2 linked regions of the Xenopus tropicalis genome follow. The protein of the gene in region 1 interacts with the protein of each later gene in a pairwise test. Links are inferred from orthologs where the notes say so. Each region holds a gene or a part of one and is shown on either strand. Other genes may lie near its edges.

What was found. The genes of interacting proteins can lie anywhere in the genome.
Region 2: the proteins of ddit3 (region 1) and cebpg interact in binary tests that used the Homo sapiens proteins (3 or more experiments, as listed by UniProt). The link is inferred for Xenopus tropicalis from reciprocal best matches to the Homo sapiens genes DDIT3 and CEBPG.

What each region holds. Positions count from the first base shown.
Region 1 is NC_030678.2:140,580,807-140,584,325, forward strand, and holds the end of ddit3 (DNA damage-inducible transcript 3 protein), read right to left. Parts: intron 2,701-3,519; 5' UTR 2,658-2,700; intron 2,225-2,657; 5' UTR 2,193-2,224; coding exon 2,049-2,192; intron 1,355-2,048; coding exon 869-1,354; 3' UTR 594-868; downstream 1-593. UniProt on the Homo sapiens protein: Multifunctional transcription factor in endoplasmic reticulum (ER) stress response. Plays an essential role in the response to a wide variety of cell stresses and induces cell cycle arrest and apoptosis in response to ER stress.
Region 2 is NC_030680.2:115,638,152-115,642,743, forward strand, and holds the start of cebpg (CCAAT/enhancer-binding protein gamma), read right to left. Parts: upstream 2,941-4,592; 5' UTR 2,818-2,940; intron 1-2,817. UniProt on the Homo sapiens protein: Transcription factor that binds to the promoter and the enhancer regions of target genes. Binds to the enhancer element PRE-I (positive regulatory element-I) of the IL-4 gene. Binds to the promoter and the enhancer of the immunoglobulin heavy chain.

The DNA.
Region 1 (3,519 bases):
AAAAAATATTGGGATGTCCCAACCATGTGGGTGATCCATAAACAGCCTTTAGGGGCAGTCACAGCAAACTGAGCCACAGTGACATCACTTCCAGTTTTTGGCCCCCACACATTGGCTGTGTCCATGGCTGGATTTTATGTTTAGCTTGTAACACAGCTACAGTTTGAAAAAGCAGTCATTTTCACTCCTTTGTAGAAATAGATGTAATATTCATTAGATGTAATATGTAGCTGAAGAAGAATTGCACACATTTGAGAAGTCATACTTAATGAAAAATCTTATTTTAAAATCAGAAAGCAATAAGAAATTGCACTGTTGTGCTTTCCAAGGATGCTAGAACAACTTTGGCGTATAATGAATTAAAGGTGGTCATACATGGGTCAATAAAAGCTGGCGATGGTCAGCAGTTATCAGCCCATATATGGGGCCCTCAGACAGACCTACCCAACAGATATCAGGCCAAAAATTGGCCATGTGTCCTGATGGCCTCCAACCCATGTGAGCAAATATATCCCCCCAGTGACACTGCTTGGACTTTGAAGCAGATTTGTATCAATAAGGACCAGATCTTAAATAGTACATAAAAACCAAAATACATGCAATATTAGTTTTATTAAAATACTTGATTAATATCAGGGGATAGCTAAATGGACATGGTGTAAATTGTTTTGGAAACAGACACCGTGCAGATTAACCATGCAATATACAGAGCGCAATGCATTCCAGACTAGATAAAGGACTAACCTGTAACTCCTTACATCAGTATTTACAGAGTACCTGCTGAAAGTCACAGCAGTTCTACAAAGTTTACTTTCCTAAAATAAAAGTATAGTTCTCATAGCAAGTAATTGCTGATTTATTTTGAGTCTTAGTCTTTTTTAAGGTTCACCATCCGGTCTATTAAAGCCTTCCTAGTCTGCTCCACTTCCTTACTTAGGCGTTCAATCTCTCCCTTTAGTCGTTCATTTTCTGCTAACAAATGGGACACTTTCTTTTCATTCTCCTCTTCCTTTTCTTTCACACGTACTTTTCCTCCTCGTGACTGACTGCTTCTCTTTCTTTTTGATGGTGGCTGGCTGGCAAAAGATTCCTCATCCTCTGTGTGGGTATGTACTGAAGAGCTACTGCAGTAATCGAGCTCAGGCACGTCCGACTGCGGAGTATCATCACTTACTGGGGAACCAGAGAGCTTACAGTTGTCTTGTATTTCTGAGTTTATTAGTTCCAAGACAGCAGAAGGCAGCTGTTGTACAGCAGCTTCTAAAGCATCAGTATCCTCATTGTCCATAACCAAAGGTGACTCAATAGTCCACAAGTAAGGAGATTGGTCCACAGTTTCCATTTGCTGTAAGTCCTAAAAAAAAGAAAAAAAAATTAGGCATTGTAGGCCAGAAAATACCTGTAAATTAAGCAATTAGGGCATTTTGCTTAGAACTCTTCCCACCACATGCTGCCAGTGTGACAGATCAAACAGAACCCCCAAGGTTCTAACCACTAACCTTGCTGAAAGATGGCAACAGCATGCTTTACATAAAAGTACCTAAGCTGAGGAGCGTTGAGGAGAGGTGATGAGCTTTGGTGCAGGGAACGTCAGTACAATCTTGTTCCAATGGGTGTAGTAGTACTTTTTCCAGAGAGTTCTGTACTATTCATGAGGTCAGCTACAAATAGTGAAGCCTGGACCAATATGGTGGTCATGCCCAGGCTGCCCCTGGCTTCAAGGCTGAATGGCCACAGGCCTCCTTAACACCTCAGCTCTACTTTGTTAGAATTTGCTTTCAAAGAGCCAATGTCATGCTGGGATTTGATTTGGGTGAGGCTTGCTTAACAGGCCCTAATAGAACAATTGTTAAAGAATCCCCATCTGCCCTGCTAATGTATAGCAATGCCAACCTAAAACTTAAAATGCTGTTTAGTTGTGATCCCAAAACCCAGACAGCAGATTTGCGGACATCAGACATTGATGTTTTTCCCTCAGTCTAATGCTAGATAGCCAACCAACAAAATGAGAGCAAACAAATTAGTTGGTCACTTATAAAACCACCAACCTGCTCTTCTGAAACAGGGAGCAAATTCCCAGTGTCCTTTGTGTCGGCCCACAAGATGTCTTGAAGATCTTCATACCAACATTCCAGCTCCCACCCAGACAAAGTGGCCATGGGGCCACAGAATGGCAGAGACTCTGCCATCATTTTGTATGGCAATCTTGCTCAGAAGACTGTTTCTGTAAAAAGGGAAAATAAATCAAAATATGTAAAAATGCAGACAGTGCCACGTGCCTTACCTGCAAGCTGAGTGGGGGGGGGGGCGCACTGCTAGGCGATCAGTCACCCAAAAAGTTAGGGTACACTGAAATAGAAGAGCTGGTCTATGGAAGCAAAGACTGGGCTGTGCACTGCATACGAGGACTCCTTACCTAGAGATGTAGGAAAACCAAGTATGTGCAGATGGCATAGGCTTCCAACCAATCCAAGACTTATATGTCATTTTATGAAAGCATTCAATGAATCCAAAGGTTTAGAAATGCCTGTAGCACTTTAGGGGTTTAGTTATGATAAGAGGCTTCCATCAGCCTAGTGGTCCTATAGAAAGGCAACTACATGCTGTATATGTTCACAACTACAGTTTAGCCAAAGGCTTAGATTTCAGTGTCTTACCTCAGGTATGGTGATGTATAAAGATTGTCTTTCTTCTCCAACACTATTAAAAAGAAAAGCGTGATTAGCTTTTTTTTTTTGTAAAAAAAAAAAAAAAAAAAAAGTTTATAGCAAGGCTACCATATACATTATATATAGATACAACAGTTCAGGCTACTCGATACAAAAACAGAAGTCAAATACAAAAAAAATTGCTTCAGTGGTGCTTAACACTATTATTACTAATTATTAGGAAACCGTTTGAGCCAGAAAAATCCATATGCATTTATTATAGAAGAGGGCACATTTTATGATCTGGGTCTATATGTCAGGATTAATTCTCTTTCCCAGAGGTTTGGAGTTGTGTAATGGATAACGAACCCTACCCACAGTGAGGGCCTAAACCCTCTTTAAATATGTATTCATTTGTCTGTCTTTTAGGGGTGGTAGATGAATTGGTTACCTGGAACCACACAAGGAATTGAGATCAGTCATCTTCTGTGCTCCAAAAATCCCATATATAATTAAATGGACCCACCCGCACTGGCAGAATGGATTGCATTAATAAAAAACTCCCTTTAAATCAAGCAGACATACATAGCAAGAACTCCCTGCAGAAATCTGAGGCAATATGGTCCCCATGGCTAAATGCCATTGCCCTATTAGACCTGCCCAGTAACTTATTTCAACCAAATAAACAGAGCTTAATCTGAAAGGTTGTCTTTTTCTATTATTGATACAATGACGGATTATTGAATAAAATGACCGCTTGCCATGGTACAAAAGATATCGGGTGATTATTTGGGGTCCACACATGGACTGAAAATCATACAAAATGTAGTACTGGTTTGGCCAGCTTAAGTCTTAGTGAGATCTTAAGCAA
Region 2 (4,592 bases), on another chromosome or scaffold:
GATCCCCCATGTTCCTCTATGAGGAGGCTGCCATATCTGTACTCCAGTAGTCTGTTAGCATTATAAGCTTTAACCAACAGGTTGAGAAGGGACAGTCAGGTTGATTAAACAGTCAGGTTTAGGAACTTCAAGTAACAAAAAGCAGCCCTATCTGTGAAAAATTATCAACATGACCTATAGGTAACTTTTTAGGTACAATAATATTTTGAAAAGTAGTTTTTTAGTGTCGGTATCACTTTAAGATACTTATATAATGAAATGTGGCTCACAGCTACGTGACTAAATACGTGTGGCTGCACACGCTTGCGGAACACACACCTTACTAACAGTTCCTGAGAATGATGCGACATGTAAGACTGGAGCAGAAACCCTGTCAGTTCAGGAATCAGTTAGAATCCAGTGAGGTTTGTGGCATTTCTAATGCTGCTGCCAGAATGGCACAATTTTCTCCGCTACTAAGCATTTGCCCTGAAATCCTGAGTCATACTAAGCACAAAGTGCAGTATGGAAACTCTGAAACAGTCATGGGTTATTCTGGAATAGTTTTACTTTCTGTATGAGGTAAGTGAGACACCCAGCATTCAGCTAAACATGATCACACTTGCACAGTACATGCCACCATCAACTTGCTAGCAAATCCAAGTTTAGAATTCAATGTAACTCACTACACAGGGTAAACTATAGATATCAACAAGAAAGCTACGGGCACAACCTTGGCCTCTGATCTTCATCTCATGGGGGGCTTGCTAAGTGTCTTTCTATTCAATTCCCTACCGGTTTTATACTATTTAATGCTTGTAGAATTGTCATTCTTGGGAGGAAACCTACACAAGCACAGGGTGAACATACAAACAACTTAAAGATTATCTGTAAATGAATATACAGCATTTACTTTAAATATTATTGGCTTGATAATTGACTGCCCATTACTGTTTTTACTAACTGAAGCGTTAAGTCACCATCATATCCTGATTCTCCTTGTTCTAAGGCAGCTAAGTTAACCTGCAACCACTGGACACACAAGCTAACTAAAGGTGCCCAGGGACAGATTTAAGCTGCCGACTTGATTCGGCAGCTTATCTGCATGCGTATGCCCCCCACCCCGACAAACCTCCTAAATGATATCTGCCCGAAAATTGTCCAGTGGTCAATCGGCAGGCTTGATTTTCCCATTGGATTGTGGGCTGCATTCATTTGGCCCTAGGGTAAAATTATTGATTTAGCTTGATATTGCCCACCTTTGGTGGGCATATTGGCAGAAGATATGATCATCTGCTGACCTCGCCAAATAAGCAGATCTTAACATGTATGCCCACAATTATTCAGACATCTTGGTCATTCAGACTGTAAGCAGTCAGGCCAAATTTGCAATTTAGTACTTCAGTCACAAGTGTATTCTCACCATAGTATACTGGTCAAAGAGAACACTGGGTTGACTAATGATCCCATCAATTACATTGGAAAGTAGTGAACTGAATGTGGCTGCACCTCCAGGCAGACAGGCAAGTTAAATCAGTTCCTGAAACTATACAATATTCTACACTACCAGTTAGATACACAGAAAGTCTCTCCGCTGATATGAACCTGCTTGCTCATGTGCAGTTGCAGGTAGCAGGAAATCCACCTCAACTGCGAGGTGAGGGCGTCTAGGCAATGATAGTTAAGGGGGCTTTTTGCACCCGGGGGTATAGTTATCTTTTAAGTAATCATTGTTAGGTGTTATTATAAAAAAATATCCCTTACATATACTGCTTAGCAACCATAGAACTCTTAATCCGTTGAAAAACAATAACTCTGAATAGACAAGACAGCCTATAATAAGCAATACCATTTTTTTCAAGGCCAAATCCCCTCTATCAACACCCAGCTAGGCACATGAACTATAAACCAAATTGTTTGGGATCTGGGGTCTGCCATAACCATCACTGGCTGTCACAATGTCCATTACAACTGGTAGTTTCCCACCTGGCATAACAGGCTCAGTAAATACACTATTGCAGTGTTCAGTGAGTATTCGGTTTGTTTTTGAATAGTGGCTAATGGTCCATCATACAATACAAAGCACATTAAGGCAGGGGCTTCTCCCTCTACACAGTTTGTACTCCTACCAGTATCCGCCAGGGCTCTCCCCACTCTCTAAAAGCATCACACACCTATAAAGCACATATAATAGGAAATATCTGATATAAGGAATGAGTTTGTTCCTATGTGCACAGGCAAAGCTATGCAATACAGAATAGTCTGGGTCAGACTTTTCAGGAGGACAACATGGGGGGATGGCCAGCAGCACCCACCGAAAGCTGTTACTTTAAACCTACGGAATAGTCAAGGTTTAGAGCACAACTGTTGCATGTGCGATATAGTCGGATGCGACAGTGGGCTGAGTGTGGATCAGCGCAAAGCCACTCACAAACTATGTCAATTCCCAGGGCGGCATCTCCCTGCCAGCCCTCCGGTAACAGTTAGCACTTAAGGCTTTGCGATGTACGTATGCTTCTTGCATTAGAAGGGTAACGCTCAGGCTGTTACAGAACTACAAATCCCATAACCCCCATCAGAAGGAAAGCCCTGCCACAGCTGGAGGCCGATGGTATCCCAACTAAAGGCTGAACCCCAACTTTTAATTACAACTTCTTCCCCTCTGAGTTATGCGACTGCCATGAAGTGTCTGAAGTGGTGTCTCTAGGTACAAATGCCAGTATGCCCTACCACCCAGACACTGTGAGCGCTGAAGGGAAATACAGCCGAACACCTGCAGGGTGCCAGGTAAAAGGCAGCCGTTCTGAGACGTTTCTACTCCGGTACAGTACAATTTACCTGATGGCTTCGAGGTCCTCCTGCCCGGGGAGGGAAGCCTATCCCTCCCCCACGACTTGTTTCCCCTGTCCTCACTAGGGATCCGTAGGTTACTCCTCCTCCGGACACTCGGGGCTGTGGATCATCCGAACCGCACAATAGATTGTTGCGAAATCACTCGGATCTTTCCTCTCTCGGGCAGCATGATGCAATCCCCCGACAGGCAGCAGAGGCAGCCAATCCGTCGTTGGCAAGTGGTGAGCGGCCCCGCCCATAGATCCCAAGTCCATTTTTTTCTTTTTCATATGTAACTTTATTGTTACAAGTTGCTGTCCTTCCCTATGAGGTCCCTGGAACAGCCTCGTTTGCACTCCTCACCTGTATGTGTTCTGCAGAACTGTATCATACAGGGTGCTGCCAAACTATTTACTTAATGGAGACGTATCTTATCAGCATGTTACACTAAAATTTAATGGAGAACTTAACAATTGTCTAAAATCAATTAGAATTTTTATACTTGATCTTAATTTAGTGGTTTTCAATTTTTTTTATATTAATATTTCATTTTGAGGCCCAGCGTTGAGTCCAACAGGGATGGTACCTGTTCAGCTTTTATCTGGTAAGCTGTCTGTTCCTGGTTCTGTCCAAATATGTGCAATAATGGTCCAGTTTCTACTCATCACTTGCCCCTGTCATAACAGACTGCCCTATCCCCAGAAAGTAGTGCCCTGTGCTGTGTAATATTAAATACAATTGTAAGTTCTGTGGGTGGAGCGAGCGGATCTTCTCCCGATATCCCCCACCTACGGGTGGGCCACCTACCCTGGGGCCAAACGATCGAATTATAACAACGGGTTTAGGCAAAGTCGGTCTGGGGACCGCATCAACGAGCCGATGCGGTCCCCGTTCCGACTAGATTTTTTAACTTGCCCGATCGATATCTGGGCGATTTCAGGCTAGATATCGGTCGGGCAGGCCTGTCGGTAGTGCCCATACACGAGCCGGTTAGCTGCCGAATCGGTCTAAGGGACCGTGTATACTGTGAGGATCACAGTGACATCTAGAGCTGGCCATAGACACACCGTTAATATCATACGAAACCTTGTTTCGTACAATATTTGTTGCATGTATGGCAAGTCGGTGAGGCGACCGTTATCGCAGGAGGCTGCTGATATCGGTTGACTCGCCGATCGGGCGGCTTAGAAGATTTTGATCGGGTGCCATTGAAGGCTTCTTTGACTTTAATATATTGCAATATATGGAAAGACAATCCCTGTTTCCCCTATATAGTTTTTCTAGGAAAAAAATAGCTGCCGCCGGAGGGAACGCCCGGTGCGGGTGGCCAAGTTGTTTGGCACACATGTGCATATTGACAGAATTTCCCCGCTTGCTCAGTATGCTCATGCGCCTGACATGGGAGCGGTTAATACAACTCATCCTCCTACATCACAGCCACGCGCATAATGAGTTGTGGCACTTGCTTATTATGTACATGTGTGTCACAACATGGCTGCCCATGGCCTCCCAGTGCAGCTAGCCTAGCGCTGAAATGGGCTTTTTTTTTTTCAAGGAAAACTATTGTTTCCCCCTAACCCAGTGATCCCCAACCATTGGTTTATGAGCAACATGTTGCTCACTAACACCTCTGATGTTACTCCCAGTCGTCTAAAAGCTGGTGCTCATTTTTTAATTTCTGACTTGAAGGTAAGTTTTAAACAAATAAAGACCATGTATACTGCCACCTCTGGTGGGGGAAACAAAATGGGGGTGTTGGGTGCACTTTAATATAGTGAATA